2 linked regions of the Schizosaccharomyces pombe genome follow. Changing the gene in region 1 together with any one later gene gives a genetic interaction. Each region holds a gene or a part of one and is shown in the gene's direction. Other genes may lie near its edges.

Region 1 (6,454 bases):
TCTCGCAGACGTTAGCAAGGTTGGAGTATGAGCTGGTTAAAATTTTTTGAGACTTGATTTGATCAACGATCGGATTACTCAATTGTTTGGCTAAACCGGTTGCATCCCCTCCATCCCTCCTTCCATTCCATCTTCCATCCACACAACTCGCTTTTCAATTCGAATCGGCAAAACACATTGAATCGTCTCTGCCGCAAACGTTGTCGGTGCATGCTGGATTTGCATCTCTCGCGAATTCGTTAGCGATGCCATTCGCTTGTGCTGACCGCTCTCCCTCCCTCCTTTCTTCTCTTCCTCCTTGCTTACCTCTTCGCTCAATCTACCTTCACTCACCCTCTGTACTTCTTCACTGTATCTCGATCGACTCGGACTCTGCACCTCTTCACTATATCGGGGATGCGCCGGTCCCTGCATCTCACGTTTCTTGTTCACCGCCCTTAACAATTCCACCCGCAAAAAGTGTTCCACTCCAAATTGCTGTGTTTCAAATGTTTCCGGACATTCCTCCGGCACAACCATCGAAGCGCTCATGTTTTCCAACTCAAACACTCCCCGTGTAATTCTACACCACACTTTTCGCGTCGCCCTCTCCGTCCCTACGCTGTTGCGTATACGGATGTCTGGCACAATACGCTCCACACTTTCAAGTTGCATATGCACTTGTCGAACCATCGCGTCCAGTCCTTCTAGCTCAATCATCATCATCTCTCCTGTCCGATATCTGCTTTTGCTCAAAAGCAATCGACATAACACTTTTTGTTTGCTTGTAATCTCAAACCTCGTGGCCATTGGTTGCTTGGATTCGAGTTTTTTTAACAACGCAATTTTTTCTTCATCCTCTTCCTCTAATACTTCTTCATTGATCTCTGACCTCATTCCATGATCTTGGAATTCTCCTCCTCCCTCTTCATTAGACTCTCCATCAAGTAGCTTTTTTATGTGTTGCTCGTATTTCTTTTTTTGCTTCTCTTCCTCCTGCGCATCCTGCGAAAGTCGTATACCGTTTTTACCGAATTGCCTACGTGCTTTCTCTGCTGAAACCTCTTCAATTTCTGCCGCATCTGTTTCAATAATCGGTTTGGATAAATCTGCAAACAGCTTCGAGGATTGTCTGTTTCCCGAATTCTTTCCGAGTGGCAGTTCAGGTTGCTGTTGAACGTTGGGTACTATAGTAATTTCAAATTCATGCTCTACACAAGCATTGTTGGTAGCTGATTGGACTCCTATGACCAGTGCGTGTTGAAATCGAAAGGCCAATCCTTTATATGTAGGTGCTGTTCGAAGGGGAATTCTTCGCTTCAACCGAAAGCATTTTTCCTCTCCAGGAGAAAGCGTGATATCGACTCCTAATATATCTGGACGAGTCAGTAGCACTGGAATGGCATTTTCCTGCTTTTGTTCTTTATCGGTTAGTATTCATGCTTAAGCAGTAGGTTGCAGTAAAAATAAGAGTAACCATCTTCCAAAAAAAAAAAAAAAAAAAAAAAAAATTGAATAAAGAGTAAATATGTTTCAAATGAATTACAAAACTCTTCCCAGACAACCTTTCTGTAATTCGTCAATTGACTTTATGTCCACCTCACCGTATAAGCACTCTTCCGAGCTATATCTTCCCTCCAAATGTAAGCCAATTGAGAGATTTTTTTTACCAAGTCTTTATTTCCTTTTGCACCCTTTCACCATTACATACCTGAGGCCTCTGTCAATGTACTTGCTTGTTTAACTCCAAATAAATTTCCAATCATCCCGTTCAGAGTATTAATAACAGAATAACTGCTGGATACCTTGGGAATATGTACTAATCCGCTCATTGTCCTTTTGTTTAAGAGCCCCTGCCTCTGAACCTCATCGAATTCTGTAACGCGCACCAGTACATAGTCAAGGTACATTTCACCATGGATAGAAGCATAGCACAAAAGTAAATTTACATCTTCTGAACTCCTTAGATTCGTGAATTTTACAATGCACTCAAAGTCAGTTCCGGATTGAACTACATTCACTGGCATGTACATTTGCACATCACATTCTGTCATTGTCGAACACCACTAAACTCTTATATTCGATAATTTCTCAAGCCGCTGGCTTCAGCTTTACCTTAATAATAACCATACAACTTGGATTTCTTCATTCGTATTGACGAACGTTTATTAGTCTCGTAACAAATGCACAATCAAAATAGTACTGTAAAAGAGCCCACTTTTCTTCCTCCACGACTCATTTTACGAGATTAAATAACGAACGCCCACAATCAATTTTTTACACTCTCCTTACTATTCCTTAATTTACTCATTTACGAATGTTTTAACGAAGCTTTGTTAACTCTCTGCTTTTGGCAAATTGTCACATTCCTTGCTATTGTCGCCCAATATACATACATACACTGCTTTTTTGGAAGTTAGACAGTAGCTTCTCAGGAATTGGGTAATTGTTATTCATCGTCGGAAATGAGTAATTCTGACATTCGAAGCTTCTTTGGAGGAGGGAACGCTCAAAAAAAGCCAAAAGTCTCACCGACTGTATGTTTGTTTCTTCAATCAGTCAAATTTGATAAGCTAGTCATTCATTTTCTAACGTCTTTGTCTAGCCTACTTCCCCAAAACCAAAAAGGAGTTTGAAGAAAAAAAGAATCGTTTTATCAGATGATGAAGATGGTACAATAGAGAATTCAAAAGTTCCTGCATCCAAAAGCAAAGTGCAAAAACGGTTCGTTTAATTCGGGTTATCAGTTTATATTTCTAACCCTCCAACTAGTAATGAGTCGGAAGATATTTCCCATTCTTTGCCATCCATTGTTCATGAAGACGATAAACTGTATGTTTATTTTACTTTTACCTCATTATGCGTTGTTCGCTAATTTGAATTTTTGTTTAGTGTCGGTTCAGATGGAGTTTCAACTACACCTGATGAGTACTTTGAACAACAGTCTACTCGGTCACGTTCTAAACCGCGGATTATCTCCAATAAAGAAACTACTACTTCCAAAGATGTCGTACATCCTGTAAAAACAGAAAATTTTGCCAATGACTTGGATACCACTTCAGACAGTAAGCCAGTTGTCCATCAAACTAGAGCTACACGTAAACCTGCTCAACCTAAAGCAGAAAAATCGACAACTTCAAAGTCAAAATCTCATACCACAACTGCGACAACTCACACAAGTCGTTCTAGCAAGTCGAAAGGCTTACCTAGGTTCTCAGACGAAGTTTCCCAAGCCCTCAAAAATGTTCCTTTAATTGACGTAGACTCTATGGGTGTGATGGCTCCAGGTACTTTCTATGAACGGGCGGCTACAACACAAACTCCAGGCTCAAAACCCGTCCCTGAAGGCAATAGCGATTGTCTCTCGGGAATTAGCTTTGTTATTACAGGAATTCTAGAGACTTTAACTAGACAAGAGGCTACAGACCTGATCAAACAATATGGTGGAAAAGTGACAGGTGCACCTTCTGTTAGAACAGACTTTATTCTCTTAGGTGAGAATGCTGGTCCAAGAAAAGTGGAAACAATTAAACAACACAAGATTCCTGCTATTAACGAGGATGGACTCTTCTATCTTATAACTCATCTTCCTGCTTCAGGAGGAACGGGTGCTGCGGCTCAGGCTGCTCAACAGAAAAAGGAACAAGAAGAAAAGAAAATCCTTGAAACTGTTGCGAGAATGGACGATAGTAATAAAAAGGAATCACAACCTTCACAGATATGGACTTCAAAATATGCGCCAACTTCTTTAAAGGATATTTGTGGTAATAAGGGTGTCGTTCAAAAACTTCAAAAGTGGCTACAGGATTACCACAAAAACAGGAAGTCCAACTTTAATAAACCTGGACCTGATGGTCTGGGTCTATACAAAGCCGTATTACTCTCTGGTCCTCCAGGTATTGGCAAGACGACTGCTGCTCATTTGGTAGCAAAATTAGAAGGTTACGATGTTTTGGAACTGAACGCTAGTGACACTAGAAGCAAGCGCTTGCTAGATGAGCAGCTGTTCGGTGTGACAGATAGTCAATCACTTGCCGGCTACTTTGGCACAAAAGCTAACCCCGTTGACATGGCAAAGTCCCGACTTGTACTCATTATGGACGAAATCGATGGCATGTCATCGGGTGATCGTGGAGGCGTTGGTCAGTTGAATATGATTATTAAAAAAAGCATGATACCAATTATTTGTATTTGCAATGACCGTGCTCATCCAAAGCTGCGGCCCCTTGACCGTACTACGTTTGACCTCCGTTTCCGTCGGCCAGATGCTAATTCAATGCGATCCCGAATAATGTCTATAGCGTATCGTGAAGGTCTCAAATTGTCACCACAAGCAGTCGATCAACTGGTTCAGGGGACGCAGTCCGATATGCGCCAAATTATTAATTTGCTATCCACTTACAAGTTAAGCTGTTCAGAAATGACACCTCAAAATAGCCAAGCTGTTATTAAAAATTCTGAAAAGCATATCGTTATGAAACCATGGGATATCTGTAGTCGTTACTTACATGGAGGAATGTTTCATCCATCAAGCAAGTCCACCATTAATGATAAATTAGAGCTGTATTTTAATGATCACGAATTTTCTTATCTTATGGTTCAAGAAAACTACCTTAATACTACACCAGATAGAATTCGTCAAGAACCACCGAAAATGTCACATTTGAAGCATTTAGAATTAATATCTAGTGCTGCTAACTCCTTTTCCGACTCTGATCTTGTTGATTCAATGATTCATGGTCCTCAACAACACTGGTCACTTATGCCAACCCATGCTCTTATGTCTTGCGTGCGACCTGCTTCTTTCGTGGCTGGTTCCGGTTCCAGGCAGATTCGCTTTACTAATTGGTTGGGTAATAACTCGAAGACAAATAAATTATATCGTATGCTTCGTGAGATACAAGTACACATGCGTTTAAAAGTATCCGCTAATAAATTGGACTTGCGGCAGCATTATATTCCAATATTGTATGAGTCTCTGCCTGTAAAGCTATCAACAGGCCATTCAGACGTCGTTCCAGAAATCATTGAATTGATGGATGAATATTATCTAAATCGTGAAGATTTTGATTCAATAACGGAATTAGTTCTTCCTGCAGATGCAGGTGAGAAACTCATGAAAACCATACCGACTGCTGCAAAATCTGCATTCACAAGAAAATACAATTCTTCGAGTCACCCCATCGCCTTCTTTGGAAGTAGTGATGTTTTACCTATGAAGGGCTCTGCTCAGCGCGAAGTGCCGGATGTCGAAGATGCAATTGAAGCCGAAGATGAGATGTTAGAAGAAGCTAGTGACTCAGAGGCTGCTAATGAAGAGGACATAGATTTAAGCAAAGACAAATTTATTTCGGTACCAAAGAAACCTAAAAAAAGGACTAAGGCAAAGGCTGAAGCGTCCTCTTCTAGCTCAACCAGTCGCCGATCCAGAAAAAAGACAGCTTAAAAAGCTCTGAAAATATTACTTTTACGGATTGTATATGAGTTATCGGGATTATATTGCTGAGTAAGTGAAATTTGCGAATACTTTTCAATTACTTTGCAACAATAGTAAATAATATAGATTTTTTGGTGGATTTTACAGTTCTGGTAAGATATGCTCAAATTTTCTTAATCTTAAATGTGTGTTCTTTTGTCCGTTACATACTTTAATGTTTATAAGATATATTATATCATATTTAGCATGACCGTATTTGCAAGGTTAGATTTAAAAATTCGGTGAGTGGTATTTTCAATAAAGCTATCGTGAACCATATCATTTGTAATTGAGTCAGTAAAATAAAAGCTAATTGACAGGCGGTTTAAAATGTATAAAATTATTTTTATTATTAATAATTATATCGTTTCATCTAAGTACGCTACATTGCTGTGTTAACTATCAGAGTTATGGTGAGCTAAGTGCTTAGTAAACTTAGCAGAGAGCATCTGAAAAGCTGCCAAATACCAGAATGCTTGCATCAATTGAGGAAGCAGTGAATGACTTTCGTAAGCATATTTCTTTTTAAAAAGATAAAACGCTAATATCATGACAAGGGGATGGAAAGTTTTTAATAGTGTTAGACGATGAAACGCGTGAAAACGAAGGAGATCTGATTATTGCAGGTTGCAAAGTTACTACCGAACAAATGGCATTCTTAGTCAGGCATTCTAGGTATGCAAAACGACATGGAATTGTTTGAAATGCTAATAAATAGTGGGTATGTCTGCGTACCCATGACTGGTGAACGTTTGGATTCTCTAGAAATTCCTATGATGGTAGATAATAACGAGGATCGTATGCGAACAGCATATGCAGTTACTTTGGATTATGCCAACGGTACTACCACTGGAATATCCGCTCACGATCGTGCATTAACGACTCGACAGCTAGCCAATCCAGAAGTAACTTCTCCTCGTGAGTTTAATCGACCAGGACACATTGTTCCCTTAAGAGCACGAGACGGCGGTGTTTTGGAAAGAGATGGTCATACGGAGG
Region 2 (4,063 bases), 2.3 Mb from region 1:
AAAATCGATAAAACATACTTGATTGAAGGAAGCAAACCAACATGACTTAATGGTGAAGTAGAGACATCAAATGTGGAAACCGGGCGGCGGCCGTGTTTCGTATCATAAAAGCGTAACTATTTGTTGTTAAATAAAGGTTCAATACTGTGAATAATCAAAATATTATCAACTGCTTACCTGACCATAATGAGTAATCGTAGCAAAATGGAAGCACAGACTTTCATCGTCTTCGGACTTTCCGTCAATAACATTAATAATATCTTCCGTGAACACAATTCCAGTGATCCACACGCGCACTCTAAGATTCAGGGAGTCATTTTTTACATTTTTTCCCTGGAAAACTTTTACCACGTTTTCTGTTCGCCAAAGTTCTAGTTCATCAATGTTCGATTTGCACGTAGGATTGCAAGAATACAAACAAACATCGTTTTCTTTTCCTCCAGCAGCGATTATTCCTGGTATTCTTGGATGTAACTCAACAGCGGACAGGGGGCCATGTAATTGAAGTTTTCGAAGCTTCGAAGATTCAATGTGTCTAAACAACAAATTTCCATCACTTAAAGCAAGCATTAGCCAACCATTAGAGTATTTCATGGAAACTATGGAAGCAGTCTCTAATAAAGAGCTGTCCAATTGCCAAAGACTAGACAAAATAGGTGGTTCTTGGTTAACGTTCCAACATTCAATAGTACCATTTTTCCGAGCGACAAATACATTCTAAAATTAACAAGTTAATCAGTGTTTTTCGAAATATAAACACAGGATATCCTAGTAACGCGCAATCCATTTGATAATAGTAACGAAGAAACAAGCGTCAATAAAGTTGCTTCTTTTTAGTTCATAATGCGTTATCACAGAAATCTCAAAAATTCCGTACCATTTCATGCTTCAACATAAAAAGCACTCCTTTTTCTCGATCTAACTCTCCAAATTTCTGAATAACTGGTGCTTCTGACTCGGGGTTTGAGGTGTCAGTACCTTTTTTTATTTCTATGACTATAATCACCTTTATTAGTACCGACGAACTTGTGAGTGGATTTCTTACATTTTAATTGCCCGATTTCATCACCAAGAAGCAATTTCATCTTGAAATACTACAACTTTTGTCGTATATCGCAAGAATCGATTTGGTTGTTGAAATGGGTAATGAGAAAAACTTTCACCACGAAGGTAGGAACGTGTCCTTTTAAAGGGCAAATTTTAAAACCATTTTAAAAAACCTTACAAGGTAAAATAAAAAAAAGAATGAATTGTCAATTTAATTTAGGAAATGTCATTTATTGAATGGATAATTTAGCTTATCGATAAAAAAAGGTTGTAAACGGACTAATCGCTCACATGTACTTGAATATAAGAAGAATTGTAATATATCATTTTCTATAGAATAAGTGCTCGTCAAAGGAAACTGAGTTTTGCAGCTGATTCATTTAATTGAAAGTTTACAACGTTAGCGTGTCAAGTTGCCTTATCAATGAATGGGATTTAAATAATTTCTTAAACAGTTATTTTTTTTATAGGAATAAAGCAAGGTGGAAAAACATAGTTTGGTCAGTAAGTATACGAGAAGAAGTTTGAACTATGTAACAGCTTCAAATGTTTATCGATAATGAAGTTAGAGCGCTCTACGAAATAGAATTGAATAAACAATAAAATTACCAAGTGTTGTAAAATACTTCCCACTCAAATACAATGTTCAGTAACTTCCATAATATGTGTAAACTAGCGAGAACGGAAGGTATCTTGAAGAGCTTATTTTAATGGGAAAAACAGTTCGGTTTGTTTAGAAGTTAAAAGTTTTATCATCTAACAATTTGGTGTAATACACTGACATGCACGTTGTATTTCTCCATTAAGTACATCCACTTGTCCTTTGCGTTACTGAAGGGTTTTACCAAAAACCGAGTTCCAACCTTTAAATCTTGGAATAAATGCTTTGGTTAGATCAATACCGTCCAAAGACGCTTGCATCTTTGGACTATCACAAACAACTCTCAGAACGTCTTATTTCCTTGTCGTCTACTAATGAGTTTCCCCATTTGTTAGTGTATGGGCCCAGCGGAGCAGGAAAAAAAACTCGGGTGGTTGCTATATTACGAGAATTGTATGGACCTGGCTCAGAGAAGGTATGTTTCTTCATAGTCTGACTTTCATTTAATTAAATATACATGCTCACAATGAATGTAGTTGAAAATCGATCAAAGAACTTTCTTGACTCCTAGTAGTAAAAAATTACAGATCAATATTGTATCAAGTCTTCATCATTTGGAAATTACGCCCAGCGATGTCGGAAATTACGACCGAGTCATTATGCAGGAGCTTTTAAAAGATGTGGCTCAATCTGCACAAGTTGACTTACAAGCTAAAAAGATATTTAAAGGTATGTCTTCACTGTAAAGTGAAATCAATATGGAATTTTTGTGCTCTTTTTTGTTCCTAGGTGTCTCATGTTATATTCTGGTTGGTGAACTTTCAATTCTTTTCCTTATTTTTATCTGCGCTCGTACTAACATGCTCCTTAGTCGTTGTAATCAATGTGGCTGACGAATTAACTAGAGACGCTCAAGCGGCTCTTCGTCGTACCATGGAAAAATATTCCAATAACATTCGTCTGATCTTAATTGCCAATTCTACGTCGAAAATTATTGAGCCTATTCGATCTCGTACGTTAATGGTTCGTGTTGCAGCCCCTACGCCAGAGGAAATTATCCTGGTAATGTCTAAAATCTTGACAGCCCAAGGCCTTGAAGCTCCGGATTCTCTGCTTAATAATATAGCGAATAATTGTGATCGGAATCTTAGAAAAGCCATCTTGCTCTTAGAGACCGTTCATGCAAAATCTCCAGGCAACAAGCAACTAATCGATACTGGTGCGCAACTCCCTTTGCCTGATTGGCAAACATTTATCCAGCAGGTCGGTGATTCCATGCTTCAAGAACAAAGCCCTGCACGTATCCTGGCTGTTCGCTCAATGCTGTATGATCTTCTTTCTCACTGCATTCCCCCTACCACAATTTTGAAGGAACTTCTGTCTTTTTTTCTTTCAAAAGTGGACACTAAATTGCATCCATACTTAATTCAAGCTGCAGCGAATTATGAACATAGGACTCGGATGGGCAACAAATCAATTTTTCACCTAGAGGCTTTTGTTGCATATTTTATGAAAGTTTATGCTATGTTACAACTAGGTATGGAGTTACCTTCTTATTAGCTTTTTCGGTGATTACTAGAATGTCTATACTATACTTGTGCATCTTGATTTTGTAATTTTAAGCGAAAAACTATCCCACTTTATTGGACCGTGTATTTATTGATTTTCTTTTGAGTCAAACTCTAGTTTCTGAGCTACGCCCGCTATTATTGAAAAAGATTAATCGAAAGGAAGTCGCTACAGTATTTTGTTTGTATATTCCTTTGGTACACTTTCAGTAAAATGGAGTTTATAAAAACAAACTGAGTTATTAACATTGTTTCAAAGAAACTTTGTTTTTGATAAATATGCTGAAAATGTCTAATACTATATAAAACTGTTATATATCTAATATACGGAATAAACTACTATTACAAATGATTCAAAAAAAGAGAAAGAAACTATAATCCGAGGATTTCAGGGAAAAGTTTCAAATTGTAATGCATCTGGTAAATGTAAAGAAACTAACAAATTTACCACGCGACAATGAAAATGAAAGATATAAAAAACAAGGGTTGTTAAAAAAGATAGCAAAGATTACAGTTAAAGACGGTGTCTTAATAAGAAAAAAGAAGTTTGTGGTGACAGTGGATGAACAAAGTCAAAAAAACCTCACTTTGCTAAATACCCACGAACACAATCCGCTAAAAAGACCATGACGAATGTTTGGTAAGCACCAAGACCCATACGGGGGACGGCACCACGATAAAGACCCTTAATTCCATTATTCTTGTAAATGCTCATTATGGTTTGCATAATACCAGGTGAGGAATGTTGTATACCCTTGGTCAAACTTTGCATCTCAACGCGAGCGACCTCGAGTGGTTGATTCCAACAACTAAGAGCACCAGCAGACACACTAGCAACAAACCGTTG

The links. Genes that interact genetically often act in the same process or in processes that back each other up.
Region 2: of rfc1 (region 1) and rfc5, a mutation in one rescues a mutant of the other (synthetic rescue), as found in Schizosaccharomyces pombe (one study listed by BioGRID).

The regions. Positions count from the first base shown.
Region 1 is NC_003423.3:3,851,933-3,858,386, reverse strand, and holds rfc1 (DNA replication factor C complex subunit Rfc1), read left to right. Parts: upstream 1-2,364; 5' UTR 2,365-2,444; coding exon 2,445-2,516; exon of another isoform or gene 2,517-2,584; coding exon 2,585-2,703; exon of another isoform or gene 2,704-2,751; coding exon 2,752-2,811; exon of another isoform or gene 2,812-2,871; coding exon 2,872-5,425; 3' UTR 5,426-5,730; downstream 5,731-6,454. Other genes in the region: rgp1 (protein sat1), read right to left, coding at 91-1,400, 1,691-2,033; rib3 (3,4-dihydroxy-2-butanone 4-phosphate synthase), read left to right, coding at 5,928-5,964, 6,013-6,130, 6,174-6,454. UniProt on the Schizosaccharomyces pombe protein: The elongation of primed DNA templates by DNA polymerase delta and epsilon requires the action of the accessory proteins PCNA and activator 1. Subunit 1 is essential for cell cycle progression.
Region 2 is NC_003423.3:1,533,921-1,537,983, reverse strand, and holds rfc5 (DNA replication factor C complex subunit Rfc5), read left to right. Parts: upstream 1-1,872; 5' UTR 1,873-1,928; coding exon 1,929-2,123; exon of another isoform or gene 2,124-2,184; coding exon 2,185-2,377; exon of another isoform or gene 2,378-2,519; coding exon 2,520-3,208; 3' UTR 3,209-3,563; downstream 3,564-4,063. Other genes in the region: ribosome biogenesis protein wdr74, read right to left, coding at 19-116, 178-717, 878-996, 1,046-1,085; yhm2 (tricarboxylic acid transporter), read right to left, coding at 3,800-4,063. UniProt on the Schizosaccharomyces pombe protein: The elongation of primed DNA templates by DNA polymerase delta and epsilon requires the action of the accessory proteins PCNA and activator 1.